3 linked regions of the Oryzias latipes genome follow. The protein of the gene in region 1 interacts with the protein of each later gene in a pairwise test. Links are inferred from orthologs where the notes say so. Each region holds a gene or a part of one and is shown in the gene's direction. Other genes may lie near its edges.

What was found.
Region 2: the proteins of tmem218 (region 1) and creb3l1 interact in binary tests that used the Homo sapiens proteins (3 or more experiments, as listed by UniProt). The link is inferred for Oryzias latipes from reciprocal best matches to the Homo sapiens genes TMEM218 and CREB3L1.
Region 3: the proteins of tmem218 (region 1) and pcna interact in binary tests that used the Homo sapiens proteins (3 or more experiments, as listed by UniProt). The link is inferred for Oryzias latipes from reciprocal best matches to the Homo sapiens genes TMEM218 and PCNA.

What each region holds. Positions count from the first base shown.
Region 1 is NC_019872.2:1,109,049-1,119,695, forward strand, and holds the start of tmem218 (transmembrane protein 218), read left to right. Parts: upstream 1-5,048; 5' UTR 5,049-5,272; intron 5,273-5,347; exon of another isoform or gene 5,348-5,729; 5' UTR 5,730-5,748; coding exon 5,749-5,858; intron 5,859-6,722; coding exon 6,723-6,825; intron 6,826-10,609; coding exon 10,610-10,647. UniProt on the Homo sapiens protein: May be involved in ciliary biogenesis or function.
Region 2 is NC_019860.2:23,106,381-23,116,583, forward strand, and holds part of creb3l1 (cyclic AMP-responsive element-binding protein 3-like protein 1), read left to right. Parts: intron 1-4,001; coding exon 4,002-4,153; intron 4,154-5,464; coding exon 5,465-5,540; intron 5,541-6,356; coding exon 6,357-6,559; intron 6,560-7,530; coding exon 7,531-7,677; intron 7,678-7,752; coding exon 7,753-7,811; intron 7,812-10,096; coding exon 10,097-10,165; intron 10,166-10,203.
Region 3 is NC_019867.2:6,547,225-6,557,907, reverse strand, and holds pcna (proliferating cell nuclear antigen), read left to right. Parts: upstream 1-3,662; 5' UTR 3,663-3,904; coding exon 3,905-4,125; intron 4,126-4,342; exon of another isoform or gene 4,343-4,772; coding exon 4,773-4,870; exon of another isoform or gene 4,871-4,959; intron 4,960-4,965; coding exon 4,966-5,033; intron 5,034-5,052; exon of another isoform or gene 5,053-5,108; coding exon 5,109-5,303; intron 5,304-5,385; coding exon 5,386-5,509; intron 5,510-5,583; coding exon 5,584-5,660; 3' UTR 5,661-6,007; downstream 6,008-10,683. Other genes in the region: putative aminopeptidase W07G4.4, read left to right, coding at 1-69, 146-264, 348-431, 524-581, 1,402-1,583, 1,671-1,811. UniProt on the Homo sapiens protein: Auxiliary protein of DNA polymerase delta and epsilon, is involved in the control of eukaryotic DNA replication by increasing the polymerase's processibility during elongation of the leading strand.

The sequences.
Region 1 (10,647 bases):
GAATCGAGTATTCACCCGGACCATGGTATAATTACGTGTTTATTCACAAACTGTTGCAGCTGTTGTTGTTTCCCAGTAGTTTTTTATGTTCTTTAACGGTTGCTTTTGCTGTGATTTTTACTTATTTATTTTTGTTTAAATTCACTTTATGACTTTATCTGAAGATGTTTCTGAACTGAAGAAACTGGGAAAAGGGACGTTTTGAATTTTTCCTACAGAAAAAGTTGAATTTAGCAGGAATTTACCAGTTTTGAAATGCAACCCTGATGGACTGAAAAACTTCAAACATTTGATCAAATACGTTCTTCTGGGGAGGAGTTTGATTTGTGGAAGAAGCTAATGAGGGCTGGAGGATCCTCCTTTTTCTAGTTTTCCAGGTGATATCGGTAGTTGTCCTGGTAGTGTGCTTGCTCTGTGTGTGTGTGTGTGTATGTGTGCTTGCTGTGTGTGTATGTGTGCGCGCGGTGTGTGTGTGTGTGCGCGTGCGTGCGTGCACGTGTGTGTGTGTGCGTGCACAGTTCCATGTGTGTTATGTTGTGACATTAAAAACTGTCCTAAGGTTTTAAATTATACTGAATTCATTTGAAGTGACAGTTAGATAATAAACACATGCAGATGTGCCACAAATCCTCAGCTACTCGGTAATATATTACACAGAATATTTAGAAATATTCTTTTTAGCTTCAAGAATTTTTTTCTAACTGGATCTCTTTAAATTTTAGTTGAAAATCGCTGAGCTACATGAAAAAAATGAGAGGTTCAATCAATAAACAGTAATACATTTAAATTGAGAATGCATCCTCTGCAGATCACATTTGACAAACAAATAAAAAAGATCACATCATGTGCCGGCTTTGGGAATGGTTTGAAGTGGAACAAAAATCTCTGAAGTGCATTAAGCAAAAGTCTTGCTAAAGCTTTTCTACTTTTGTTTGTAGTCTGGCTTTGCAGAAGCAGACCTCTGCTTGACGTTTTCTGGAAGAGGTGGAGGCAGAAATCAAGCTGGTCCTCAGCGCTGCCGCTGGATCCCTCAAGGTCTGCTTAAAGCACAGCCACAACAGAGCTGGCTGCACAGCCAAAAGCCAGAAGGTTGTGTCCTTAAGCCGTTCAAAAAGCCCTCCGCCCTCCTCTGGAGAGCAGCAGGGTCACGCGGGCTCAGTGGCCGTGGCCTGTAAGGCCCCCAACACGGCTAAAACACGCAATGCAGTTGTCTTTAGTGTTGCTGCACCACTGAACACGGAAAGCCAGCTGAAATCAAACTACAGAGAGGGGGTAGAAGGAACTTCCTGTAGGATGTTCCAGTGACGCCCAGCAGACCAGTCTGACAAAGAACTCTCAATAGTTGTCTTCATTGCAGAATTTTAACCTTTTAGATGTTTCAAAAGATAAATAAGTAAACAAATCCCAACCTTATTACAGAAGTCCAGTTAGCACTTTCATAAAGAATAGATGGATAATTACTACATGATCTTATTCATCTGTTTCTGAATCAACAAGACAGGAAAAAATAAAGGAGAAAAGAAGCAAACAAGATGATGTCATTTCCTCTTCATAGGTTCAATCACACAAATGTTGAAATTTGGTTTTTACGTATGCCATCCTGGCTTCGTTTAGCTTCCTCATTTAGTGCGACTGAATCCCTCTTTTGGGGATTATTCCCCCCCAAAAGCTGCAGGAATCCACAGCATTACACTCCATCCTATCATTTATCCATACAGCAGAAATGAGAATATGCAAATGTGCTGAAGTTATTTTGCGGCTCCCAAATATGCCCCTGGGCTGCTTGTCCAATGACACAAATCATCAATTAAGATCTCAGCAGGACTTGGTGAATAAACTAAATTAGTCTTATCCCACTCTGCCAATTCATACAGAGCGGCGTGGGGAGCATCACAACAAAGAGCAAACACCTTCTTCGTGCTCCGTTGAAACTCATTCCCCGCTGAATCATCCACTGACAAAAATACACTTTCATCTGACCGCTGGGAGAGGAAACAGGCCGTCTCATGGTCTTTGAGCAGCGACAATAGCAGCATTTCTCAAAGCCCTGACTGCCACAGAGGGGGCCGCTTTACTTCCTCGTGGCATTTTACAGCCCACACCTGCCAGGCTCTTCTGAGGAAAGAGCTGAAGTGGTTCAAATCACCGCTGGGATTTCGAAGGAAGGCGGATGATTAGTAAACAAATGGCTCAGACATATTTGATTAAGCTGATGGATTCTTGATTGTCAGGCTTTTTTAATGAATCGGTTTGACAGACATTTTAATTTCACTGACAGGAGACAAAAACTGAATATATTGTGAACCTAAAAGTAGTAAATTTGCAATTTTTAAAGTCACACATCAGTTCCAAATCTGCCTTCTTGGTGACAGGTGGAAGTCTACCATTTCTGAGTGACGGAGCGACTTGAACGGACTCCCTAAACGGCTGAAAGCTGGTGGACAGAGTGCTGCTGGACGCCAACGGGCTTCCAGGACGCACACACTGAGACTGAGAGCTGTCAAAACATGCAAACCGTCATTCAAGCACCCAGAGAGTAAAGTGGGTGACGTGGGAAGACGCAGACGGACAGACTTCAGCCAGGACGCCTGCAGGTCACACACACACACACACACACACACACACACACACACACAACAAGGATTCGCACAAGCATCAGCCAAACATCCACAAACAGAACACAAGAGGAAAGTAGCGACACAAACAAAGGAGCTCAGTTACGCAAAACAAAGAGAGAACTGCAGCAGCAAAAGTCAGCAAGCATCCAACCCATTTTTGATTTCTTGGTTTATTTGTTGGGTCAGAGTAAATGCAATAGTCTTCTGTCAGTCAGAAATGTGCTGTTGAGAAAAGTTTACAATCATATTCTTCCAAAAGAATAAATAAGTGTAAACAGCAGAAAACGTCATCACAAACTTCGTTTAATAATTTAAAAAGACTTTTTTTTCTTTCACATTTTTCTACAAGTTAATATTCTCACCAACTCTAAAAAGATACTAGAATGATGTTAAACAATGAAGTAAACAGATAAATACACAGGTTACCAGCGGCTGCAGGACGCACACTGACACACACACGCACACACAAAGACACACACGGCGGCGGATCTCCAGCGCCTCGACTCTGCACCTCTAACTACACAACAACAACAACAACAACACAACAGCCAGCGGATCCAGCATCCCAAACAGGCGCAGACAGAAACGGCCGCTCTTCCTCCACGGTCCCAGCAAACTGCATTTCCTCCTCTTCCTCTGCTTCTCCTCTTCCCCTCCCCTCCCCTCCCCTCCTCTGCCTCTCCGTCTCCTCCCTCCCTCCCTCTCCGGCCTGGCTGGGTGTCTGCCTGCCTGCATGAATAATGTCCTGCCTTTTGTAATGAGGGGGGGAAGGGGGGAAAGGCCGCTGCAGGGCTGCAGCTCTGCTCTCATGCACTGACACTGAAAATGAATGACAGCTTACCTGCATGCCAATCTTCATCAGACTGACACTGGGCTGACAGCACAGCCTATACTCCTCCACACAGCCGCTGACGTCAGCCAAGCCAGACTCCTCCCACCTCCATCTTCATCCATTTTCTTCTGTTTCCCGACCCGGGCTGCCGATGCCTTCCATGTCTGTGGGAAATACGGCCACCGCGGGCAGTTGCAACTGGAAGACGCCGATTGGATCACGAAGATCAGGTTTCACTATAACAAGCCTAAACTTCTCGTTCCATCATCTCCTGTCTTGTTTTTGTTGAAGGCACAAATCCCTGCATTTGTACTTTTTTATTTTTTCAATAATTTGAAAGCAGGAAAGACAAGCATGTTATAAATGCTTTAAAGCTATTTTGCTTGTAAAGTCATAATGAGATTTATTTTACATGAATGTGGCATAAACGTAAACTCTCTAGCCTAGGCTTTAATGTCTTGTTTACTAAAGACATCAAAAATCCTCTTCTGCTATTCTGTTTTTTTTTTATTCAAATTTAAAGAGACCTTTGACTGAAAGCGCAATTCAAAGAAGTGTTCGGTATCATGAGACGTTTCATCTTTCATGCTGTGCTCCTCCAGCATCTGTAGTGACTGGATGGCTCAAGGGAAACCAGCGTTCTATTCCCAGGGGCGCGATGAGCTTCTTCCAGTGTGGGTCCTTGGTCAAGACTCTTCATGCCGCTGCCTAACTACGTAGCCACAAAGGAACCCGAGTCTGGGTCCCCGGTGCCGGTCCCCAGCCCAGATAAAACACAGGGTTGTGTCAGGAAAGACATCCAGCGTAAACATCTCTGCCAAGCCTCCTGTGTGAATCAGTGACAGCTGTGTGTGGCGACCCCTGCGGAAAGGTGAACAACATGCTGAGTACGTCCTGCACGATGGATGTCTGGACACAGCTTGAGAGGTTCAGGCTGATCTCAGAACCAGCATCTTGGGTCAGCTTGTTCTGCTTCTTTGAGTCTCTGGTGCTGCTGGACCAGCTGACACACAAACTGCAGCATCTTACTGCTAACATCAGGCATCTTTGTTCTTCTCCAGGAAGTAGCACTCTGACCTTTAGTGTGTGTGTTCTACTCCTCCAGCTTTCAGTGGTCATCCCTCACTTCCACCTTTTATCACATGATGGAAAAAATGTTCAGCTTGTTTATTTTTTATTGATAAACCATAAAGTTGCTTTCAAAAGCAGCCCACTCACTCTCCTGTCCAGATCAGTTCACCGCACATCTGCAGGCAACTTATATTTACTTTGAATGAAATGCTAAGGAATATTGAAGCCATCCCATTACATCCCTGCACCGGTTAATGAAGGAAACTGCTTTCAAATATAAATAACCTAAGAAGGCACAGAGCATGTGAATCCTACATTCTGCCTTTGGCTGACCAGAAAATTCATTAAAAATCCTTTGTTTCAGCTTTTCTTAGTTTATTTCTCTGACTAAATGTCTAAATGCTCAGATGCAAAACTGCACTACAGCTGAATTATTCACCTCAGTTAGCCTTTATTTAGACTTCTCACAAAATCACTGACAGTGAAATTTGGCAGCTTTGTCTGTTTTTATATCTATTATTTTTATTGAAAAGCTCCCTTGATCTTCTAAATTGATCACCAGACGCCGTGAACACATCAACCTTCTCGGGCTTTTTTAAACAACAGTGCATGGAAGTTTCGAGGGTACCCTAAAGGCACCACGTCTTCGCACGCTGCTGAGCGTCAGCTCCAGCCAATCAGTGAGCGGAACACCCGCGGTCCCCCTGCGGATCCGGTCAGCCCCCCCGGCGGCTGTGGAAGGTTATTTAAGGCACGTGTTTTCCTTTACCGCCTTTTGTTCCGTGAACATTGAATTTTAAATGATTATCGTATATAAATATGATTCGTTTCCCCACAAATCTCCCAAATCCATTTTTCTCCTATCTGTCCTGAAACATGGAGGCGGCCTTCTGATTGGCTCTGTTCGAAGTAACCTCACAGCCGATTGGCTTATCTTCCACTTCATTTATCCAATGAGAGCAAAGCTTCTGGTTACCAGGAAACGGTGAAAAGCGCAGACACTGGGAATATAGCTTTAAAACTTGAGCGCTCATATATTATTTTACACAAAGCACGCGCGTGCGTGTGCCACGCTGACCTAGAACCAACCGGAAGGAGGACGGGGCTGAGCCGGAATCCCGGGCGGCGGAGTTCCGAGCTGCCGCCGGCCCGGAACCGGCGCCGCGGTCGCCTCTACATGATCATCACATCTCTGTTGTCGTCCGTAGACAGACAGAGAGCATCAGCATGGCTTCCCCCGTCCTCCAGGTGGGCCCTGGAGTCCTGATCCTCGCCCTCGTTTGGGTCGCGGCTCTTGCGTTCGGCATCCTGCTGCTGAGAGCGTCCGGATCTGCCAAGTGAGTGGGAACCCGAACCGGAAGGCCTCATTCAAATGCTGATGCTTCTCCCTCAGCTCGTGATGACGTGCTTCATACACACGTCCAGTTGAAATCCTGTAGTAGGTTGTGAATCATCAGCATCAGTTTGATTTAAACTGAAGACTTTGATTGACAGCATGATGTCATCAACACACCAGCACTGAGCCCTGAGGAACACCTCGAGATTTGTTCAAGTCGTCTTCTTTCACACATCAGGATTTTATCAAATACTCCATAAATCTGATTTTGGAAAGTTTATCTTTGATCTCTTTGTAGAAAAAGGTTAAACATCTCATTGATGGACCTTTTTCTCCTGTTCAGACTGAGCTGACAGGAGAAAACCGTTTCATAATAGTGGGGGGTATTTCTGCCAAAATACTGCACTGATTAGATGATGATTAAAAGTTTACTGATTAATTCAATGACATTTATTTTTACATTTTCCCTTCATGAAGTGGTTCTAAAAAACCACTTCATGATTTAAACTCAAACAAAGGTGGAACTTGTATCCAAAAATGTGAATTATTTAAAGAAAACCACCTGAATAAGCTTTTTGCTGTAAACTACTGGCTATTGTTAACATGGATTTGATTCGTTTGATGTAACCTTTTTTCATGACCCTGTTTGGTTCCGTCACACACATCCTTTTTTCTGTAGACATCAGCAGTGTCTTGTTTTTCTGACTTCTTGAAACATCCACAGTGTCCATGCAGTGATCACAGCATTTGATAATGTAACTGTAGTTAGATTACACAACGTAACCAGAAATTACTCCACCAAAGCTCCCAGAGAGCCGCTGATGACGTCCTGAACCTCTGAATCTGAACCGTCTTCCTCCTGCAGGTTAGGAGTCATCCCTGTCTTCCTCCTGGCTCTCTCCATCACCTTAGCTCTGGTCGTTTTCCCTCGAAGCCCAGAGACTCCTCCCCCTTTCAAAGAGAAGGAGGTGAGCTGGACGCACATCACACTCCTCTCACAACCTGCTGCTGTGCAGCTGCAGCTGACTGCACACCGTCCTTCCTCCAGTCCCATCAAGGATATGAAGTGAAAACTTCTGCTTTTTTATTTTGTGAAGGGCTCCCAGAAGCCGTTCTCCTTCCCCAGCACAGCTGCCAAAAGCAGCAACAGCACCCCCCCACTCTGAGTGCAGTAAAGACCCTAGCAGTATTATGGGCTGTTATGGCGGCACATGCTTAATGGAAGCATAATGTGGCTCATTTGAAAACAGAGCAGTCTTGATCTGGTGCCATTGGGATTCATCACCACCAACTGTTTTGGGTCCAGACGGCCGTGTCTGCATCCAGAGGGTCCAGCTCAGCTCGCCGCTCACTAATGCACTCAAAAGGATGTGGTGTCTGAGTTTCACACTTATTCTGTGTCTGCGGACAAAGAAAGCAGAAGGGAGACGATGCCCAGCCTTAAGTGAGAACAGGATTCTGTCTTCAGCGACAGCTGATTGTGCTTCAGCCTGTGTGCCTGCAAATAGTGTCACTGTGGGAATTTCTGCACTTGTTGTGGAGGCCTGCCTGCTTCATCTTGTTCCAACAGCAACACACAACAAACACTCCCCCATGTTGCCTCAGAGTCGTGCCAGTAAGCCGACTAGCTCTGCCAAGCAAGCTGCCGCCCCACTGAAATAGGCGAGCAGAGCGGCGTCCTGCGTGCGTGGCCTCTGTCTGACGGCCAGACCAGCAGAGACGCTCTGGGTTTCCCTTCCAGACTCCACAGACAAAGATGTCAGAGCCGCTCAGACCTTCCGGTTACTTCACTCCTGTCCTCATGTGAGCTGCTGCTCCCCTTAGCAGCCGTCAACTTGATTCAAATCTCACAAAATATGATTCAGAAAAAGAGAACATGATAATGATGCTACATTTGTTTTTCCTAAAAATACAGTTCATGGAAAAGAACTGGATGCAGTGAGAATCCTTTGTGTCTGCGTCTCAGCTGCCAGCAGAGATGCGCCCACGAGAGGCGGCCTTAACCTCATCCTGTTAAGCTCAAATAAAACATCACACCACCAATTACACCAGTCCTAAACTTAGGGTGGGGGTGGTCTATTTAACACCCCACTCCCCACCTGCTCCCACGCACAGGCACATTAATAAAACATGCTCCACACACTCAGGCTTCCTGTTCGCCGTCTAATTGGCAGATTAAAACCTGAGGTGTGTTATTTGGATCCATCTCTGAATGACTCCCTTTGTTATACCCGCCTTTCTTAGACACAAGAATGCTTTTCACAGGCATCATCATCATCATCATCATCATTAGGACTATGATCATCTTGTCTCATTCCATAAAAGTCACTGTCTCTCTGTACACAACAGTTGGGCTGCTGTCTCCTGTTATTTCTGCTTGAGGCTTTTTTCTCACTTTGTCGTCTTGTTTTCCTTGGCGGCTCATAAATTATTAGCGCACTCTGAGACATCAGTGAGCTTTTGGAAAATCTCTCTGAAACATGAGTTTCTATACAAAGAAGCATCAACATCTGTCGGAGAGGCTTGTTGTTTCTTCAGGATCTCCTCTCCATTCTTCATATTTTATGTACCGATCACTGAATTACTGAGACCTGTCTTTCTAATGTAGTTATGGTAAACTACTGCACTGCCGGCATTTTTAACACTCACTTTAAAAAAAGCTAGTTCACCAACTCGGCAGGTCTCTGGAAGGCAAAGTTTGCCCAGTCTTTGGATTTAAAGGTGGTGACAGGCTTTTGTTCTTTCAGCGTCCTTGTTGAGTCCTTTAATCGTGTCTTCAGAGCCGAAATAAAGAAGCCAGGAATTTGTATTTTAGGTTCAAGAGAACATTGTTCAGCTCTCTTTATTTACTGCTTAAATGACTGCATCCTGTCATGATGATATCCATACTTACATCAAACCCAAACTCTACTGTGACAGTAGTGGTGCTGCACTGAGATTCCTGACATTTCCTTTTCTTTTTACAAGTTTCTTAAAAAATATAACTCTTACTGACTGACTTTGCTAGTGTTAGGGTTTTAAGTCAATACAGTTGTGATTCATTTTTTACTTTAATAAATCCCATAAGGTAAGTTAGGTTCCTAGGGAGTGAACTCTGAGTCTGTAAATGAAGACGTCTCCCATCAAACCATATCCTTTCTGTTGGAACTGCCGTCCATTCAGTAGCTTGCAGTGTGGAATATGGACGCTTCAGTGCTCTGACCAGGTCACCATAAACCACTTCTACACCTGAGCTACATGGTTACAGGTGTCTTCACGTGGCTGTGACAGTAACGTAAACCCAGCAGCAGCAGCAGCAGCAGCAGCAGCAGCAGCAGCAGCTAGGCCATTGAACCTCCAATTAGCTGTCAAAAGATTCAATGAGATTGTGTCATAGAACATACCAGCACTGACTGTCTGCTCTCATCAGCTGGTTCACTCTGTCCTCAGCCTCTAAGCTGAAAGAAGACGTGAAAACTCTAGCTAGTTGAACTGAGGCTGTCTCACGGTGATGGACCTAAACTGTTGACTACATTCCACTATGGTCTTATTTAAACAGATCTTGTAACTGTATAACCTGCAGTTGTGTGTGGTGGTGTGGTATCTGATCCCACCAGCAGCTGCTTTTTTAACTCTTCCTGTGTTTGATGATAACTCTGCCGTTACAGTAGACGTCTGGGATAAGCTGCTCTCTTGTATCCAGTATGAATTTGATACAAATATGAATGTAAAACCAATCTATTCACCGCCAGACCTGCAGAAACTGGGAAGAAATGTGTAGAAGTGAAAGTTTTCAGTCTTTGAAGGTTTTTTTCATTCACACAGTTTACTTTAACAACGGAACAAATATAGGACTCACAATCCCCACATCTCCAGTTTTCTCTACTCAAGACATTTTTTAGGTATGAAACTATATCTCCAAGTTTCAGACATTATGTGTTTGCATATGATCCTTTTCTTCACACCGTGACGTTCAATGATACCAAAACCCTCCGGTTCTTTCTGCTGCATTGGTATTTAACTACAGAGTGAGTGCATTTTCTCTGACCTGTCAGCAGTTATTGTACCTGTACATTTTACGTTTTTGTAACCACAACATTCAAGCATAACCCAAATTTACTGAGAACCTTTTTTAGGCAACTGGTTTCCCAATATTTCCATATAGGCTTTGCTAAAGTTTCTTCTTCATATATGTTCAGATGATTATGTTCCTGAATCAAAATGACAGTGTCAGAGAAAAATCCAAACTGTAGTGTAACAATAAAGTGGTTTAGTACTTTCTCCTGTGCAGATGGAGGAGGGGAAATGGTGGGGGGCTGTCAATGATTCGATGTATGTAACTGATGCTTGAAGCTTTCATCATGTTGTCAGTTCCTGAACAAATCAACCAGTTACCTTCAATTGATGTGAATGAAGCAAAAGCTAAACATTAGATCAGACATTTCACTCCACAGGCAGCCCAACATCTGGAAAATCAGTGTTCCTGACAAAGAATCGCTGACCCAAGACACAATAACAACAATGCACAATAAACAAACAGTATGCAGAATATTGCTGGTTGATATTGGCTTTAAATTGTGCATTCACAAATTCTTTAGGCATGTAAATAACAGCCCAGCTGACCAAAGCGCTCTCCTGACATCTAGTGGCCAATAAAGACTGCTGATGGAAAGTTGTTTCCTTTGCAAAGGGACAGTAACCAAGCACAAATGCTACAGGACTCAATGTATTATTTATAGTATTATCTATTAGTTCTCTCTTTTTGTTCAACAGATAACAGACACGTTGTTCATTGGCCGCTATGTTCTCCT
Region 2 (10,203 bases), on another chromosome or scaffold:
CAGCATGTCGTTTTTCTGTCCGTCCGTCTGCCTCTCCGTTTGTCCCGGGGATCCTGCTGCCTGAGCAGCCCTCCTCCAGCTAAGCCCCCCCCCCCCCCGAACATACACACAGGGAAACGCACAAAGACCCACACAATGCTGCTGCTGCTGCAACACACATATGGTTTTAGGTCTGCAGCTTCAGCCGGAGCCAGCGGAAACTCTGTCTTTCCTCCGTTGGGTTATCTCCTGCCTCATCCAGGCCTTTCAAACCCAAACTGTTCTAAAAAAACAAAACTTCAAACTGTGCAATAAACATGATTTTAAATGAACCTTTACTCGGATTTTTAAAGCTCAAAGTCGACTTTAAAGCCCTTATTTTCATTCCTGTCCCATTCAGATGAACAGCTTTGACCTCTGTTGCCTCACTAAAGCAAATCCTTTTTCTGCCCCGGATGTTAAATCCGGTCGGACTTGTGTTTTTACTTGCATTTCTTTTGGAATTCTTACGATGAAAGCGGCGGAGCCGACAGTTTTCTTTGGATCCTCCTCTGTCTTTAATGCAGCTCATAAAAGTGACCGATTAGACCTCAGAGATTCATCCTCCAAAGGTAGTTTAAATCCATAACATTAATGCTTTTTGTTCCCTCTGAGCCTGCATCGCAGCTGGGGTCCCACAGCAAAGACCCCCCGAAACAATCACTGTTTACTCATTTGGAAGTTGTTGACCTTTTCCGAAGCCCGTTCTGCTCCCGGTGAAGGGCTTTCTGGGTCTTGCTGAGTATAATTGGACTCAGAGTATGACTCAGACCAATTAAAGGTCAATAACAACTTTTCCACATGGAGGGGTTTCCAAAAAATAATTGTTTTATATTTGATAATACATTTAAAGTCCCTCTCCGATCTTCTAACGTGGATTTAGTCATCTACCGTAGCGTTCTTTCTACGTCACAAACCCGCTCTTTGACAAACAGCATTTTTTTAGTCTGCAATTTGAAGAAAAACTATTGAAAACAAGTAATTTGAAGTTCGATTTTCTGCTTCAAGAACATGTTAAAAACACCATTTTCATCAGAGCGAGTCTTCACCACAGAGAGGAACCACCTGCCGTACAGTTGGATACACCTTTATACACCTGGGGGGGGGGAATTTGTGGCAGTTTCATAAAAAAAATATTAAAATCATACAGAAATTGCATTTATAGCACAGAAATGTGTTTTTTCTAACCCACTCATGTCCACCCACCTGTCAATCAAAAAACCCACCCCTTTTAACACTCAAATTTGAACTCTCATAACATTTTTATTGTATTTTTATTATTTGAATTATTATTTTTTTAACTTTTGAACAGCGTCCCGTGGTCATTTGAGGAATTGCAGCATTTGGGACTTCCTAGTTAGCTTGTGGGGGTTGGTTTGAACGTGTAAACATGCTAGACAATAAGGAAAAAAATGGGGTAAAAACAGCAAACAGAGGTCAACACATCCGCTGTGACAGTATAGGTGTGCCCACCTGTCAGCCTCACTGTTCCGGGCTATCGTCCAATCAGCTGCACCTCCTGACGCCGTTTAATGGGTTCACACGACAACTTCCTGTCTGAGGATGAAGCTGGAATCGTAACAAATGCTACTTTTGGTTGCATCTCTTGGACACCTAAAGTGTCAAAAGAACTCCTTTTTTTAATCTTAAACCAGTTCACTTGTAGATTAAACAAAGCAGGGTAAAAATCCCCCTAGTGGTGACCTGGTGTAATAACCTGGCTCCAGGTACTTTTGTTTTTAAACCAGCTTCAATCAGGAAGTCAGTGCAGCACCTTAATCATTACCTGTGTCTTGTAAATTCAATTTGTTGATTATTTATTTGGTTTTATTAGTTAAATATCTTGCTAATTTCATTCGGTAATATAAATATGTTAATAACATATGGATAATAAATTTTAAAAAAAGGAGGGGTTTTTTGTGTTTGAAAATCTGATGACTTTGCGAGTCTTCGTCTTCGCTCTCGTCTATTCAAAGGGACGCCGCGCTCTTTACAGCAGCTCCCATTGCGCTGATCCATCTAATGTTTTAATGCTGGCGGTTCCCAGCCGAGATCAAACGCAGCGCCCGCGCCTTTCTCCATCAGCCCCCCGGGACGACGGCCCCGGAGCCCCGCTCATTAACAGGTTTTCTTACCTGCACTTACAGCCTTTTACCCACACAGGAAGACCTGCTTTGACTAACAACATCCCATAAAGCTGGAAGAGATAGGAGGGAGGGGTGGGGGTCAGGCCGTACCACTTTAGAGAAGTAGAAATATTACATTTTTGGGAAGAACTTTAGATCTTATAATAAATGAAAAAAACAGTTATCATCTTTTTTGGTGAAGCCACTGAAGCACTTGGACTTTCTCCTGCAGGATTTGACAGCTGGAAGCTTCTGGTTTGCATTAGGAAAGTTTCCAATCAAGGCCTTAACGAGGCTCCGGGAGCAGCAGGACGGGCCTCATTAGGAGGCGTTCTCTGATAAAGATCACATGCTGGAAAGGTAGATGTCGGCCCCCAAACCACAAAGTTTTGACGGTAGTCAGACGTCGGTGTCTACTGCTGCAGAGTCTCCACAAATATTTAGAGTTTCATATTCAAGACAGAGAAATACTTGTTGTATAAGAAAAAAGAGGCATTAATACTCATTCTAATTGGGTTTTTAGAAAAATTTGGAAAATTATAACACATTTTTTCTAAAAACAGTCAAAGTTTTACAAGAATAAACCTTCAGAAAGTGTTGGAAAGCCTGAGCTGGATTTATTAGTGTCAAATTTGATTCAATGTCAGCAGCTGAAATCGTAACGCCTCGTAGAGATGATATAATTTCATCATCAGTTTCTGTAAAATCCCTTTTGATTCGGCCGAAAGCATCAGCGGCACGACACAAGTTTGTCTTTGACCTGACGGAAACTTTTAAAGGACTTTAAAACCCTGAATTTTGTGATTTTTTTTTTTTGTTTTTTTTGTCACATTTAAGCCTAAGGAACATTAGAAGACACAAACCAGCTGCAAAACGTAAAAAACTGTCGTCTCGTTTAGAAAAATCAGCTCTCAAATATTTTTTAAAACGTAAAAAAAGTCCTTAGGATGGTTTCTTGGCGCTTCAGGGCGGCAGAGAGAAGCCACAGGGGTTTTAATGATGCTGCGTGATGGGCGGAGCTACACGCACACACACACACACAAAACCCTTGCTCGTAAACCTGCCAGCACCACGTTGCTAGGAGACCGGGAAGTGATTAAACCCGACGCTAACGGCAAACACACCTGTGTGCTGTGACAGGGATCAAAGTGTCCTTCCTGTCTTAAGGCCTTTCTCATCCCACCGCTGCACCTCGACTCGCCTTTTACTTTTGTTTTTGTTTTTACTGTTTCTAGCAAAAAGAAAGACCTCGTTCCCCCTCTAATGAGACGCTTCTGCAGAGCCTCACCTATAAAGGCTCCTGATGCAAAGCAGATGCTCATCCGTCCGTCCGTCCGTCCGTCCGTCCCTCACAGAGATGCTCGTTTCCTGCATCACCTGGAGCCTCTTTCAGACCTTCTCAGCTCCCGTCGGATTCTCAAATCCCTAAAAATAGGTTGTTGCATTGGAGCTGTCTCCTCCAGCTCTTCAAGCGGCCCATCTTTTCACTCCAGGGTCTACACAAACTCACCGGAGACAAATTACGCACCGCCGCTGCCAAAGCGCCGTTGTCCAGAAGTCTGTAATAACCAGCTTAGTCAGGAAGTGCTGGAATATTCTGGGGAAGCTCTTTCAAAGTGGGATTTATAAGCTACCGGTTGTTTCTGGTTGGCAGACCTACAGCAGAGCCTCCCTGAAGGGATGAAGCGGTTAGTTTACCCAAGTTCCTCTGGGGATTGGCGGTTCGCTCCACTTGTTGGAGATGACAGGAAACTCGTCTGTCTGCGCTCAGACGAGCTGAGGTTTTGTTTTTTGCTTTTTCTGTGAATGTGAAAAAACCAAAATGGTCTAAATTCTTGCTCTTGTCCTTCTCTCCAGAGTTTGAGTGGCACTTCAGTCAGGACCTGTCAGCCATGCTGGTCAAACAGGAGGAAGACGACGGCGCTCACACGTTAGACGCTCAGCCCTCGGAAGGCCCGGCTCTCACATTGAGTTCGCCTCCACACAGACCGTCGTCGTGGAAACGCAAGGTCAGCCTGCATCCCCCGTGACACCTCCAGCCAAACCCGACCAGGGACGAGGACGCTAAAGATCGAGTCACGCGGCCGCTACGTACATTTAGCGCGTATAGCACGGATGAAAACTGGTCATACGTGGAGAAAGTGAGAAAAGTTGTGGTCTTGATGTGACATTTTTTACAGATGAATCACAAACAAATCATGTTAAAACCACGGAAGTACGAATAAATCACACAAAAGACACGTAAATCAACGTAGAACATGAACCGTGCCTGAATATTGTGCTGCTTATATGCAATTCATGAGGGATTCATGCTTCACTTATGTAATTTGAACATGATATGTGAAACATAAAAGTTATACATCGGTGGTTCACATTTTGATAAGAATGACGGTACCGAAATTTAGCCGCAGCTACAGCTATTTTCAGAGAAGTCCCGCCCCTTTAACTGTCTCCACCAATCATTCTTGGAGGCTTAATCATACGTCATCAGTCTGACCAATCAGAAGTGGTTAAAGTCTTCACTTCCTTGTTCTGATTCTGCTCATAAAGTCTCTCAGTTCTAACAAAAATACCAGCTAAAGCTCGTCTTTAGCGGTGTAGCTTTCAACAAAATCAGTGTCAGACTGTGGAACAAGTGAACAAAACAATGAAGCTCAGAGAAGAGGGTCTGTCTGACATCACTACATCTCCCATGATGCATTGGGTTAAAGTGACAGTGTCTCAGCGCACAATGAGTCTTCTCTGTTAAACGTCTTAATACCACAACGAACACACATCAATCAGTTTTTAAATCTTCTAACTTGACTTTTATTACAATTTTTAGAACAAACAGCTGCAGCTTCCAGCTTTTTCTGCCACAATTATCACAGAAATGCATGTGAGATTGTGGAGGGATTGTAGATCAATACAGACTATGAGTTTCTCCTTTTTCTTTTTTCTTTTTTTTATTGGATGCTGGTGTCCCGCGAGATTTTTGTCAAGGTTAAAGTGTGCCGTGGCTCAAAAAAGGTTGAAAAACACTGCGTTAGGAACGGTTGTGGAAAGACACAATTTTGCATGCTGCAAAAATCACGCACAATTGCAGTATAAACTACGTATAATACGCTTAAACGGCGTCATTCTCAAACTTCACGTGAAGGCCCGACGGCCGAAACCCTCGACGGACATCTGTGCACATCAACGAAAGACGAAAGCAAGAAACTCCTGAATTATCAAGCATGTTTGACGAAAGTCGAAAGAAATTTGATCCGTGGAAAATGCGCAAAATGTACGTATTGTCTGTGTGGCACGGCCCTACAGTTGCCTGTTTGTCTCCGCAGGAAAGCGGCGACGTGAATCCGGTCGCCATAAAGGACGAACCCAAAGAGTTTGGCCAGTACCTCAGCCTGCCAGGCGGTACGCACCCCAACCAATGCACTTCACCTTCTGCACACATGTCTGATAGCCTTTTTTAGATCTGGAGCTGCAGATCTACATAAACAAGCAGTATGTTAGTTGAAAAGTGAATTATTTTTTTCGTTTTTTTCAATTTTAGAACATTCTAAGACCCACTCGGATGAAAAGTAAAGAAAATTGGGCTAAAAGTTGTGTTTCTGAGTATTTTATTTATTCAAATCATGAGCAGACCTAGAAAATGAGACATATTTAATAATTCTGCCCAAAAACAGCATCATCATATAGATAAAAAGATGACCAGAGGGAGACTTTAACCACTTCAGCTTCTGTCTGAAACCATTTTTTTGGATCAGGAGTCTGCAGCTCTGCGTGAAAATGCAGCATATTGATTAAAAAACACTAAAAGATCAACTTTATTTTGGAGTTTTGTTCATTTTGAGATTATTTCTAAGGGAAAATCTCTGATTCTGAGGCCTGTCCAGGCCTGACCACTACAATGAACTAACTTTACTAATGGAGTGCTAATATTCAAAACAACAGAACAAAAACTGTTCCTTTATGCAGAAAAAAAAGCATATTTTTCTCTCTTTTAGACAAGCTGGAGCGCATGAGAATTTATTTTCAGGGTCAGACGAGTTTTTGTGGGTTTTATGTCAGGGCGTCTTGGACCTAAAAGCTTTTTAATTAAAGGTTGCAGACTCCTGAAGTCAGTCAGAAGCAGAAGTCATCCTTAAAAAGTCAGATCAGCTCCAAAAAGGTGACTTTTATCGGGTTTTTATTTACATTTTTTTTTAACTCCGACCCTTTTATTTCCAGACGATGCCCTTCAGCTCCCACCCACCCCTCCCAGCAGTAACCACGGCGACAGTGATGGCTCGCTGCCGCCCTCCTCCCCACACCTCCCGTTGCTGCCGTCTTCCCCCCAACCACAACAGAGACCAGGAGGTCGAGCCTCCTCCTCCTCCTCCTCCGCCTCCTCCTCAGCCATCTCCTCCTCGCCTCTCCTCACAGCTCCACATGTGAGTCCCGGCTCCTCCTTTTTCCCATTTCGTTGCTGTTTAGCTCATTTTCCTTCTAAACTTTCCTCAGCTTTAAAGCCCAAATCGTGACGTTTTTTCCTGAGAATAAAATCATCATTTTCTTATCTTTTTGTAGCATTTAACAGAAAACGGTTGTCAATAACCTGCCGTCTCTCTGAGGCGTCGTTGCTGCTCGTGCTTCTCCTCAGAGCATGACTCTGCCGATTCGAGCAACCGCCTCTGAGATGACGCGGCTGGAATAGACGCCGTTGAAGTGGCCAGAGTGGGTGTTGGTTGTAATTCAGTCGCCTCAAAACGCGTCCTTTAATTTTCTGGGGCTTCCATCCATCAGCAGCTTTCCTATGACTCAACCCAACGTGTTTACGGCACGGAGACACCGGAGAAAGGGAAGGTTTCAGGTCGGAGGGTGAAGCTTCAGGAACCGCTGTTTGGGTTAGAAGGTTAGGAGAGGTCGCAAAAGATTAGGGTGGGGGGAAACTAAGTAAATATACTGTTAAATTCATCTTCATCACCTCAGACCAAGCAGCTCCACAGAATCCATCATGTACTCTGATTCCGGTCAGGGAAACGGGTCTAGTAGAAAGAACTTTTGGTGCTACCTTCACTTCCTGCTGATGTCACGGCTTGTATATAGGCGTTAGCGCTGTTATTTCCTTTTTTTTTTTGTTGAGCTTGCAGCCATTAGAACAGATTTGTTTTGAAGCGTTTTATTTCCTCAAAAGACGACAAAATTCCTCTTTAGTTTGTGAAAAAGCTGCCTTGTTGGGAACAACAGCTCCACCTAGTGTCCAAACTGAGAATTGATCCATCATTATTTGTATTTCTGAGTGTCCTGGGCCTATTTATGACAGGATCTGACCCCCAAAGAGTTACAGCTTTCATTTTGGTGATAAAAGTTTGGTTTGAAAATGATTTCATGGAGTTTTTTATTGTTCCGTTGTGTTCTTCAGAAGCTGCAGGGCTCGGGGCCGCTCATGCTCACAGAGGAGGAGAAGAGAACGCTGGTGGCAGAGGGGTACCCCGTCCCCAACAAGCTTCCCCTCACCAAGAGCGAGGAGAAGGCGCTGAAGAGAGTCCGGCGGAAGATTAAAAACAAGGCAAACTAATTGAAAGAAAAAAAATTCCATCTTACAAAGTTCCTTTTTGGTGACAAATCACATGTTTTTGTTCAGATCTCAGCTCAGGAAAGTCGGAGGAAGAAGAAGGAGTATGTGGACTGTCTGGAGAAAAAGTAAGGCTTTTGATTTTTCAGAAACATTTGTTGGTTAATTCGGTCTGTGGACGCCCAGTTGTTGCATCTGTGAGGTCAGAAGGTGTTTGGGAGATTCACATCTCCTCTGAGCTTCCTTTGGGATCATCCGTTTACAGACCGAGGTTTTCCCTCTCTAGATTTTTATTATTTATCGCTGAAGAATATGGAAAAACCTTCAGCAGATCCAGTTGTGTAATGCTGAAGTGGAGCTGGCAGCAAACGCTCACTTCAGGGCCAGCTTTTGTGTTTGGAGGTTTCCTAACCGTGGCGCGGAATGACAGTACGGCTCTGCTGGGGGGCGGAGCTGGAGGCCGGCGTGGTCACGAATGTTTGAGCGCCCTAACTGAACGAAGATTTCTTCATCATCATCATCAGTCGCCTTTTTAGACCTACCAGACTCATGAAGAGCAAAAAACTTTTTTATTCACTTTGACCTGGTTCCAGGAGTCTGCTGAACACATGGAGCGTCATGAAAAGGAAATCTAAACATGGATTAACATTCCTTTCAGAGTAACAATAATCCTAATCCTGAAGATTTTACACTTAAAATGCCACTTTAATCTGAACTAAAACCTCAGTGACGGAGCAGCTTTCTTTTAGGAATCAATCGAAACGCACACAAACATTTTTATCTGCTTTGTAATCACATTGTGTCTCTGCACTAAAGAAATACCTGCCAAAATATTTATAGTCCAACTAGCACTCCGAGACTATTTTTCAATTATTTAAAAACATTCGCCAAGAAATAATTTTAGTGTAGACTTGTGGTTTTATAAATCCCAACAGAAATAAATTCTTTCCAAGCTTTAATTGCTAGGATCACACAGGAAGTTCATGAAAAACGTGGCGGGGTCAAGAAACACAACATTTTTTTAAAATAAATTAATTTAAAAAAGAGAAACTGTCAAAGAAATACAAACAACAGACTATTTATTTTAGAAGTGGCTGTACCCCATAAAAACAGAGAAAAAAGGCGTTTATTTCATCCAGAGTGTTTGCATCCGTGTCACATGATCACAACAGCCAATCAGATGTCGGAGTTTACGCCGCGCGGAATCCGGAGGAAAGCTCCGCTAATATTAGCAGCTAAATTGAAAAATTGGGAAAGGATCGCTCTGACGTATATTTGAAAACATTTTAGGTGAGTCGAAGTAAAATGTTAAACTTTTGACAGCGATTGTTATAAGTTATTAAAATTAAATTAGAATGTTTTCGTCTCTTTCCCCCCCCGAAATGCTGTTTGTTTTTATAGCCTGTATTAGGATTCTTTAAAAAGTACATTAAATAACTTTCATTGTCTACACTTTTCATATGCTGTTTGGTACAAAAATATTAGTATATAATTTATCAATAAAAAAAGACTAATGATAATGAGTCGAAAAGTAAGATTTGGGATCGATGCAATAAAGAGCAGAGCCACCTAGTGGCGATCTGCTTCAACTGCAGCCTCTAATGAAGGAGATGCAACAAGTTTAGATGTTATTTCACTCTGAATAACGATAACATCAAAGTTTAAATCCGGAAGAACAGTTACCAAATAACAAAATAGGCAGAGGTTCATTTTGAAAGCTTTATTAAAAAAAACTTATAACAAAGATTATGCCTGCAGCAGCAGCAGTTTTATTAGAACACAAACAATAAGTAAAACCGTACAGAACCCCCCCCCCCAAAAAAATGGAGACCATAACAGTTAGGTTTTTTCCTTCTTTTATTTTATCTTTTATAGTCCTGAACACTTGTGGATAAGGGTATGTCGTATAATTTCTGGTACAGGGTCACGGGGGTCGCTGGACTCCATCCCAGCTGTCGTCTGGTCACCACATTAAAGCTTTCGGGACAAACGTCAAGCGGAGGTTAAGAATGGATCTGAATCAGCTCTCGTTTGTTAAAAATATGTAGCTGTTGAGCATCTTTAAGTAATTTAATATGAAGAAAACAATCATGAAGCAGATCGTCCTTTTATTCTCCTTTGAATTATTTATTTACACACTTTATGTAACACGGCACAAGTCGTTTGAAGCATTTTCTTTGTTTGTTTTCTCCTTTTATTCCATGTTAGACTGCATTCAAGTCGACCTAAATGACATATTTGTGGTATTTAAATCCACAGTGTGACATTTTTTTAAAAAGTGTCCCATAAGAAAAACGGAGGTGAAACATTTCCTGTTTCCTTTGAGATGCCTCTGTTTGGAAAAGTCGAGCCCCTGTTTTGGGTTGGTCAGACTTTAACAGAGATGCTGAAGGACGATGTCTGCCTCCTTCAGGGTGGAGAGCTACACGTCAGAGAACGGCGACCTGTGGAGAAAAGTGGAAAACCTGGAGACGGCCAACAGGTGAGGGTCGCGCTTTTCCTCAGAACGCAGATCGAACT
Region 3 (10,683 bases), on another chromosome or scaffold:
CTCACCTGCAGCCAAAGCATCTGAAGGTTGTTGGCTCGATGGCCATGGTGAGGAACAGTGTGGGTGCAGGTCAGTGAGGATCCTTTAAACTTGTCATCTTTTTTTCTTCTCTGAACTCATCCCAGCTGCCTGTGTGTTTTCTCAGACTGCTATGTGGCTGATGAGCTGGTGGTGTCCCGCGCTGGTCGCAGAGTGAGGGTGGGAAACACCGATGCGGAGGGACGCATGGTGATGGTGGACCTGCTCTGCGAGATGAAAGAGAAGGTGCAAAAGGGTTCATTAAAGTCCCATGTTGTCCCACTGGACTTCAGTTTTGTTGTTTCTCGTTGCATCATTTGTCTCTTTAGGCCCCGCGGGAGATCTCCCCTCACCTGTTCACGATTGCCACTCTGACCGGTCACGCAATCCGAGCCATGGGGCCCAACTACTCTGTAAGTCCTGCAGCGAAATTAACCATATGTGAATAATTATAGCCCAAACTACCGAATGTGGAGATGTAATCTCTTCAAACGGGATGTTTCAGATCATCATGGATAATGGGCCAGCTCATCGCAGTGGGAACGCCGCTCAGTGGCAAAAAGGTGAATCAAATCTTCACAGTTATAAATCTTCCCAAATTTTTTCACCACTTTTATATTTTCACTATTTTTCAACACTTGAAGTGGCAAAAAAAAAATTATTGCCACATTTCTGGGTGGAGTTTTGTGTCTGAAACTGTGCTGTGAATCATACTATTTGGTTTATTGATCGTAAAATTGTCTTATTTTTTTCTCCTTTAAATGTTTAGAGTTCATTTTGCTTAGCAGGAAAGACAACGCATTTGAAGACTTTTAGTCTTTGATGTTATAAATGTACTTTATTACAATAATAAATCTATTAAAATGTAATACATTTACATACTAAATCTGGTTGGATCTGTCAGTGCTTCCTGGAGTAAAATTATGGATCAGACAGAACTTGAACTGCAGAAATTGACAGTTTTAAAATCTTTTGGCGTGCAATTTCCAGGTTATCCAGCAGAGGGCGCTTGTGTAACTTTTTCAGAGTTAACAATAGAGAGAAAGGGAGAAATGCTCAGTGCTCACGTGTTGTGTGATTTTATGGAGCAATGAGTTGTATAAGCTAGAGACGCTACACCAGCCTGTTACCATCGTCCAATGTACGTAAAGATTGACACCATATTGGAAAGGGCAGTAAACAGTGGCACACACTTAGCAGATGAACATGGCATGCTTAATTTTGGTCCGACTGATCATCACAAAAATAAAAAACAGGGTGTGGTATTAATGTTTTTGTGCAAGGTGCAACAGATGAACGACATTTCAAACGTTTTCATTATTAAAAGCGTTCTATAGGAAACGCAGAGTATACGTTTACAGATCTTTGTTCTTCTTCCCACAGCTGGAGAGGTTCTAGGTGATGTGTTTGAGGTCTCCACGATCAGACGGGAGGACTATGAGTTCCACAAGGGCAAGTCTGAGTATGAGGACATTCTGCAGGCCAACAACCTGCCATCCTCCGCTACGCCTAGAGGACATCAGAGCCCCGCTGCTTTCCTCATCATGGCCTCGGGACTAGACAAGGTGCTCATATGCTACCAGGAAGCAAAAACGTCTTGGTATGGTGAAGAAAATGCATCAGTAAGTCTAACTTCTGATTTTCTCCCACAGCATGGTGTAGATTCTGACACCCCTCTGCCATACTCCCACATTGACATTGCTGGGTCCAGTGGTCCTTTCCCGGGTGTTCCAACAGGGGCTCCTGTGCTTGCCATGACAACCAACTACATCCTTAAAGATGGTCTGAATTAAAAATCTGAAAAGGCAAAGTTGTATTTTCCAAGTACAGTATTACAAAAAAAAAAACTATCTTTAACATCACAAATGGTTATTTCTCCTCCTTTGTTTACAACTTTAAGCTCTCTTCCTGTCAAAAGCCTGTTGGTTTGCTTAAATGGGTTATATACTCAGGGGTTGCTTACAAAAACATTTCATTTTGTGAGCATTAAAAGTATTTGGAAAAAGCTTCTTTTTTTTTTAAACTTCCTGTTGTTCGTGTCACATCAAGAACTGCACATTGCCTAATAAAGGTTTTTACAGCAACTTTATTGTTCAGATTGGTTTATTTTGAAGAGTAGTGTCACTAATTTTGGAACAACTCTTGTATGAGGAAGCACAGATAAATATATATAAAAATGGCAGCTCAGAAGCTGAACCAGTGACCTCAAGAATGTTTGAGGTGTTTTTACTTTCATTAAAACAGCACTGAGACAATGCCAAAGAAAATACTGGTGAAGAAATTACATTTCCTGAGTGTAATTTTATATATAAAATTAGTTTTGAATCTGTGTGTCAGCTTTTCTTATTTATTAAAATGCAAATTCCACATAAAACATCAAGCAATCATTGACAACATCCATGAGGTTAAAGTAGTAAAAAGAAACTTGATGCTCCATACATTTAAACTAGTCATAATCGGTGTTAACAAAGTCTGTATTGTTCAGTAAGATGTTGGAGTCAGTGGAAAGTAAAATTGATACTTTCCACTGTAAAGGTTTGCATCTTTAAGACTCAGGAGCAGAAGGTGTAAAAAAAGGGGCAGAATATTTGCTCCAGTGATAATATTAAAAATTAAGCAAATAAAATAAATGTGAAGATGAAGTTTTACTGATGTTTTGGATATACTTGATTAAAAAAATTTTTTTAACTTTTCTTACTCAGCAAAATTCTATTCTTCTCAATATATTCTCATCAATATAAACATAAAAAGAAAACTGGAAAGGATAATCAGCTGTGTCATAGAAAATCATTCAATTTCACTCTTTTGGTCTAATTGGTCTAAAAAAAACATTTACAATTGCCAGAATATCAGCTCTGCTTTCATCCAAACATGAAATATGAAAAATCATACAAAAAATTTGTCTTCGTGTTTATTTGATTCTTATTCAAGACTCTTTGATGAGAATGCGTATTGTTAATGCAGTCGAAAGAGTTTTAGTGTGTGTGTGAGTGATGGTGGTGTGCCTTGGGATTTTGATAAGAGGACTTTGGCCCGAGACAGTCTGAATATTATGCATTATGCTTTAGTAACATCATTTAAACGTTTATCTTTTTGTTTTGTACATTTGTAAATGATGCAATTTTCTTAAAACAAACATATGTGTAAAACATGAGACAAATTAATATTATTCAGGCATTCAATGTTACAAATGTACAACAACTCCATATATTGATCAACATTAGGAGCTTATTTCCTCAGATTTAATTAATATAGTAACTAGTGTCATTTTTGCAGGACATCTGATGACTTAAGAAAACTCTTCTCACTTTATTTTAAGAGTATTATAATCTACCACACCAAACAAGAGAAAACATTTATTTAACCAGTGTTTTGTTAAGAATGAGGTCACTTTCTTTTAAAAACAAAAACAATTAGACCTTTTAATTTCATTCTAAAATATTTTTGTAATATTTTTAAAAGTCAGAAATATTCCCAATTTGTATTAAAAACTACGGGAATATGTTTTACATGCCCAAAATGTGAAAATAATTCTTTTCAACAAGCAGATTCCTTTTTAAATCTCTAAACAAAAATGTTTTTGCAGATTTGCATCCAGCTTCCGTTTTATTGACGGAAGTGTGTCACACGTCCGGAAATGACGCAACGACGCAGCGTTATTAAACAACAGGCGTTTGCGCGGGCTTCCAGCTCAAATCTTGTGGTTGTTGTAGAAGACGCGTCTGTAGCCCGCGTGCCACACAAAGACTGAACTGCCAAAGCCGCTTTGTCATCGCCTACGTCGTGATTACTCCTCACTGCAGCCTCCTTTTACCGGAGCAGCGCTGAAAACCTCCACCAACCTTTGCCTTCTTTTTCGATCTACGCAACCCTCCACAGAATAACCATGTTTGAGGCTCGCCTGGTCCAGGGCTCCATCCTGAAAAAGGTCCTGGAAGCCCTGAAGGATTTGATCACAGAAGCCTGCTGGGACGTCAGTTCGTCCGGCATCTCTCTGCAGAGCATGGACTCGTCTCACGTATCCCTGGTGCAGCTCACTCTCCGGCACGACGGCTTCGACTCTTACCGCTGCGACAGAAACCTCGCCATGGGAGTCAACCTTAGCAGGTGACGGGGAGAAAAACAACAAAGTTTAATAAGAGGGAAGCTTCGTGTATAATCTGCATGTCATGTGTTCTGCCTATTAAATGTATTTAAAGTGATTATCAGGGGCTGACTTCAAGTTCAGACATTTACGAATTGTTCATGGTAATCGTGTGTGGCGCCAAAATCATCTTGGACGAGTGAAACGTCGATCGTTGTGAGGCCGACAAAGGAGGCCATCTTGCTGGAGAAGCCCGGGCATGTCTCCCTGCTCGGTTAACTCTTTACTGTCCACTCGCTGATTTCAACCAGCAAAAAAACAAAACGTCTAAAACGTTGACATGTGCAAATATGTCTTTGCGCTGTCACAGAGCCGCACTTGCTGCGGTACTTTAGCGCCAAAACTCTTGCCGGCAGTGTTGGCGGGAATCCTCAAAACCCGGGAACTTGCACTTCCGCTTACGTCACTCTTTCATAAGAGTTTCCGGAATTAGATTAGCATGTTGATACAAATACTTGGATCATTTTTTTTAAACATACCACGTTATCGTTTTTAAAATAAATTTACTTCAAACATAGTACTTTATACTTATAGATTAAAAGGTGACATTAATAAAAGCTAAATTTTTGCTATTCAAATAAAAGCTCAAATGTTTTACTGCTTTTCTCAGTATGTCCAAAATCCTGAAGTGTGCGGGAAATGAGGACATCATCACCCTCAGAGCGGAGGACGCCGCTGACACTCTGGCTCTTGTGTTTGAGACCATCAGTAAGTTTCTAACTGTTCGTCATACGGAAACTGTTCATCTGATGAAAATCCTCCAAAGTCTTTATGCTCCTTTTCACTTTTCTGTGTTCCTGCAGACCAAGAAAAAGTTTCAGATTATGAAATGAAGCTGATGGACCTGGATGTGGAGCAGCTGGGCATTCCAGTAGGTATTTTTTAATTACCTCTTCTGCAGTATTTCCCAGCATTCCCTGATCTTCACTTTCTTTGCTCCTGTCAGGAACAAGAGTACAGCTGCGTGGTGAAGATGCCCTCCGGGGAGTTCGCCCGTATTTGCCGTGACCTGTCGCAGATCGGCGACGCCGTCATGATCTCCTGTGCCAAAGACGGTGTTAAATTCTCCGCTTCGGGAGAGCTGGGCACGGGAAACATCAAGCTGTCCCAGACCAGCAATGTGGACAAAGAAGAAGAGGCCGTAAGTATGAGGGGTGGATCTGTCCTGCAGAGGAAAATCGGTTTGTTTTGACATCGTTTTGTAACTTCCCGCTTTCCTTCAGGTCACCATTGAGATGAATGAACCCGTCCAGCTGATTTTTGCTCTCAACTATCTGAACTTCTTCACCAAGGCCACTCCGCTGTCAAAGACTGTAACCCTTAGCATGTCTGCTGATATCCCCCTTGGTAAGGTGGCTTACGTTGTGTGTCCGTCATCACACCTGCTGAAGCTCGACCTCATCACATTTATCTGTTCACAGTGGTGGAGTACAAGATTGCCGATATGGGACACATCAAATACTACTTGGCCCCGAAGATCGATGAGGAAGCTTCTTAAGTTGGAAGCACAGACCGAAAAGGGGGGAGAATGCAGGTGATGGATGACTGGGACTCCTCCTGAAGGACTGAAGGGATCTTACTGTGGTGAACTGTGGTCACTCTGAGGTTCCTGGGCTCAAAATGAAGTCCAGGGACGCTCAGAGTAGCTGGCAGACACATCTGTCGTAGTTTCCAGCAATTGTTTTAGGCCTGTTCTCTCCCTCTTTTTATCCCGTTTGTTTGCAGGTATCCATTCTGTTGTAGATAACACCTCTGTAAATAATTCCTGTGGCGTCACACTGCAAGCTCCAAATGTTTTGTACTCATAAATTCAATCGGAAATAAAGGATTCAAGTTGTTAAAAAACGTTGTTTGCTGTCCACTTTATAGTTTCACTAGCAAACCTTTAATAAGTGCACATGTGTGTGGGTCAAACTTCAGATATTTTTGTTATTTTTCATCTGTTGGTATGCAATTCAAATAGATTTTATTTTTTGCTCCTGTCCCAGAGGAAAAGATGTGTAACCAGAAAACGCCCATTGGGTGGTGCTATTCCCCCTTTTTAAGGTAGAAGAGGTTTCAACGTGACCAAAAAATCAGCTTTTCAGCATGAGATATTCCAGGTTATCCACAGTGTTAGGTTGAGCTTTACAGTACAGTGAACAAAAAAGCAGCTCACTTTGATGGTCTGATTGGGATTTAACCACATAATCTGAGTTCTGAGCCTGCTTTCAGAGAAATTACATCCCACAGCATTATTAAAGTGGACCACCTTCAAATGAAACAAAGATAATCTACATATTCATGCAAATACATCAGACTGTGGGTCTGTTAAGTTCTGTTAGTTTTGCCTTGAATCTGCGTGAATATTTTAATGACATGCTGTTTTTGACGCGCAAATCAATTTCCTTTGCATGTTTTATTGCTTGTTTTAATTATAACAATCTTAACCCTTTATACTATTTCCATCTTTCTTTGTTGAAACATATTAACCAAAATAAAATTACTTCACCAAGAAAGACTTGACACTGGTGCCAAAAAAATGCTATTATTGTGAAAAACACAGGATATAGAAAAATTATTAAAGGTTGTGTAGTTTAACCCCTTCATGCCTGAGTTTATTTTCAATTCTTCTTCCACTTTCGGCTTCTCCCATCAGGGGTCGCCACAGCGAACAAGTCGCATGGTAAATTTGGCAATGTTTTACGCCGGATGCCCTTCCTGGCGCAACCTTCTCTAACCGGGCTTGGAACCGGCAGAGGTAGAGAAGGGAACAGGGAGCAGCCTGGAGTCGAACCCGGGTTTCACGGACGGAAGGCGCCGCAAACCAGCACGTTTATTGTGATGCCAATTTAAGTGTAATTTGATTAAATGGTATGTGCTGAATTAGTGACACAGCATGAAGGTTTAACCTAAAATAAAGGTATTTCAACTTAGACATCTTATATCTGTGAAGAATTCTGAGTTTGATAAAAATGTTAAAAATATCTTACAGTGAAACATTGACTCTGAATATAAATGACTGTAGCTAACTATGATAAACATGTTTTGGACAAAAAGAAATAAAATAAAACATTTCACCTAGTTCTTCAAAAATACCAAGGCTTTTGAAAGTAATAGAAAGTGAGAAGAAAGTAAAAAAGTAAATGCAGATTTTTTTTCAAATACCTTTTAGAGAAAATTCCAAATCCTTGATTAATTCATTAAAAAGTAAAGGCAAAAATCAATAGGTCTGTTTTATTTACCTTTTAATTGCCTTGCAGGGATGAGGTGAGTTTATTCAAAAGCAACAAAATTCACATCATGCCAAAGCAGTTTTGATACTTCTGCCTGTTCTAAGTCTGAAACTAAAACTGTACGTTTTAAAAGAACAGCTGTTGCTTGGCAACAAGCCTTAAGTATGTTTCAGTCCTCCGACAAATTGTTTTTTTATGTTTCAGTTTCTGACAGGATTAAAGAAGATGCCACAAGTTAATTAGGGTAGATTTGAAGGTGCTTTTAGAGGGATTTTCTCATTTCTGGACGATGTCAGGGTGCAGCCTTGTGGCTTCTCCTGCGACTGTCTAAAGCAGCAAATATTTAAAATAATTTTCCTCATTTGCAGCGTTCCTTTAATAAGGAATATTCTGATACAGTTCAGAAGCAGGGAGAGGAGTGGACCTCTTGTCTCTGTTATCCCAGAAAATCCAAATTCTATCTAGTAAAAAAGGGGATTTCCTGTCTTTGGATTTATTTCTGTTGCATTCAAAAAACAAATGTTCTTTACAAAGCCTACCACTGTCATGAATGATCTAAATTGACCAAAACTCTTACAGCTTCTTCTGTGTACTAAAATATCTGCTTGGATGTATTTCTGCCCCTTAAACATGTGCACTCTTTTAGATAAGGAGCGGAGTCTGTCTGCAAAAGAAGAAGAGCCGAGTGAGATTAGAACGTCAATTAAAGAAGTGACCGATAAAGCAAAGGCACATTGAATCAATTTAAGCTGCCTCAATATTTAATTAACTGTCACCGTCCAGGTTAAGACTAATCACAAACTGAAGCACAGCCAAGTTCTTTCAAGCTGACTGGGGGCTTCCACTTTTTAATTGGCCATTTTAAGCCTCAGTCAGGCCTCATAAAAAGCATCACAGCTGTAATTTTTACTGAACACTTGGAGGAAGTTGTGACAAAACCAGGTCAGGAAGGCAGTCTGTCTCTGAGCTGAAGGAAAGCTTGTCGAAACTCACATTAACCCTACATAACCATTGGTATCATTTTTGATGCATGCATTTTGGAGACCCCTATCTCAATAGCTTGAGCCAAACTTTCCTGAAAAATCAATTTTCAGAACTTGATACATGTTTTCTGACCTGTAGTTCACCGTGATTCCACTAGAGGCAGTAGAAGTGGTTTCCTTGTTCATGACTCTCAGGACACACCCCTTTCCCTACCTGCAGGCGGCCTTGCCAGGTAAATCTTTTGATCAGTTTCAGCTGTGTCGCAGCCTTTACAGCAAGCACTGCCCAGCTGATCAGTGGCAGAAAGTCTCCAGTTACTGGAATGTTTGCGACTTTGGACCAAACGTTGCTGCTGTTTGGGTCACCTGCTTCCTTTTTTAGTTTTCAATGCAGTGACATTGTTCAGACTCTGTTTTCTTCTATTTAGATTTTGAGCATGAACTGTTTGGATTCTACTCAATTTTGAGCAAAGTTCATTTGGGTTGCCCTGCTGTGCCTCTCCCTCTCTCCTCCTCTGGATGTCTTCAGTGCACATTCTTGGATCCACAACATTCCTCCTCGTGACAGAAGTGAGTGAACCCACTGACATCAGTTTTCACACAAGTCTTCCTTACCTGGGAACAACCTTTTTTCCTTTTGTCACAGTCCTAATGACACGTCCTGGTGGACTAACTAAGGAGCAATTAATTTATACCCACAGAGAATCTTCTTTTGCCCTGTGGAACTATGTTTTTTTTTTTTTTTTTTTTTTTTTTTACATTCTTATTTCTGAGCAGTCTGCATCTTTTGGGTCCATTGAACTCCCTTCCTGACAATCTCAGAAGTACGGGCTGATGAGGTCATTTGAACCAACTTCCATCGATACGGTGATAAATCATTTGGCGATACTTTTATCAATTTAACTGAGCCTCTGACAATTGTTTTCCCCTAAACACATGAACGCTAGTTAGTGGCACCGCACACTGAGACGCTTTAAGCAGCTCTACAGCGCAAAAAACAACTAAAAGATCCAGTTTGTGTGAAATATTCAGTCAGCCCCGTGGCTTTTGTCGTTATGAGACATACATTCAACAAAACTGGATTGGTTAAGGCACATCCATTCTGTTGGGTTTTTTTTCTTATACTGAAAAATATTTTGTGTAAATCAGACAATGTTCCCTTTAAGAACCAATTTCCTAACTTACCAAAGTAAAAGCACTGAGTTCGCCTGGATAAAAGCAACTTGTATGAGAAACGGCTGCCTTTTACAATTTATTACAAAGTAAGGCATATTGATATTCAGGTAGTCTTTTTCTATGTCATGAAAATACACTGGAAAAAGGGTTCTGGTATTGCCAGACTCTTGCAAATACACACACCTACTTAAGTCTTTTTCTTTTAAAAAATGACAGCGCACCTTGTAAAGGGATTAATTCTGGTTGTGCTTAATGATGAAGTAAATCGGAGAGGTACAGGGTGCTCTATCAAAATGTCTTATTTATTTATTTTTTTCTTATTTTAAGTTGCAAACCAGGTGGGGTGTTGCGTTAAAGCATCAAACATCTGGCGGTGTTGGACTGTCTTTATGTGTTAAACAAAGTTGGGAGTTGCATAGTCCAAGTCCAAGACCAAGAGTCACCTCTGCTGCTGAGGATAAGTTTATCCGATCAGCCTCAGAAATGGCAGGTTAACAGCAGCTCAGATTAGAGAGCAGGTCAATGCACACAGAGTTCTAGCAGCAGACACATCTCTACTACTGTTAAAAGGAGACCGTGTGAATCAGGCCTTCATGGTAGAATATCTGCTAGGAAACCACTGCAAGCAGAAGAGACTTGTTTGGGCTAAAGAACACAAGGAATAGACATGAGACCAGTGGAAATCTGTGCCTTGGTCTGATGAGTCCAAATTGGAGATTTTTGGTTCCATCCACCGTGTCTTTGGGCCACGCAGAAAAATAATAATTGTATTTATATGGCGCCTTTCTGGACACTCAAGGTCACCTCACAGTTCAAAAATATGTAAGAGCATAAAAATACAACAATAAAACACAAAACAAGTTAACAGTTAAAACAGCAGTTTAAATATTGTGTGCTGAATGCATGACGAAAAGGTGAACAGATGGACTCTACATACCTGGTTCCCACCATGAAGCATGGAGGAGGAGGTGTGATGGTGTGGGGGGTGCTTTGCTGGTGACACTGTTGGGGATTTATTCCAAATTGAAGGCATACTGAACCAGCATGGCTACCACAGCATCTTGCAGCGATATGCTATTCCATCCGGTTTGCGTTCAGTTGGACCATCATTTATTTTTCAACAGGACAACGACCCCAAACACACCTT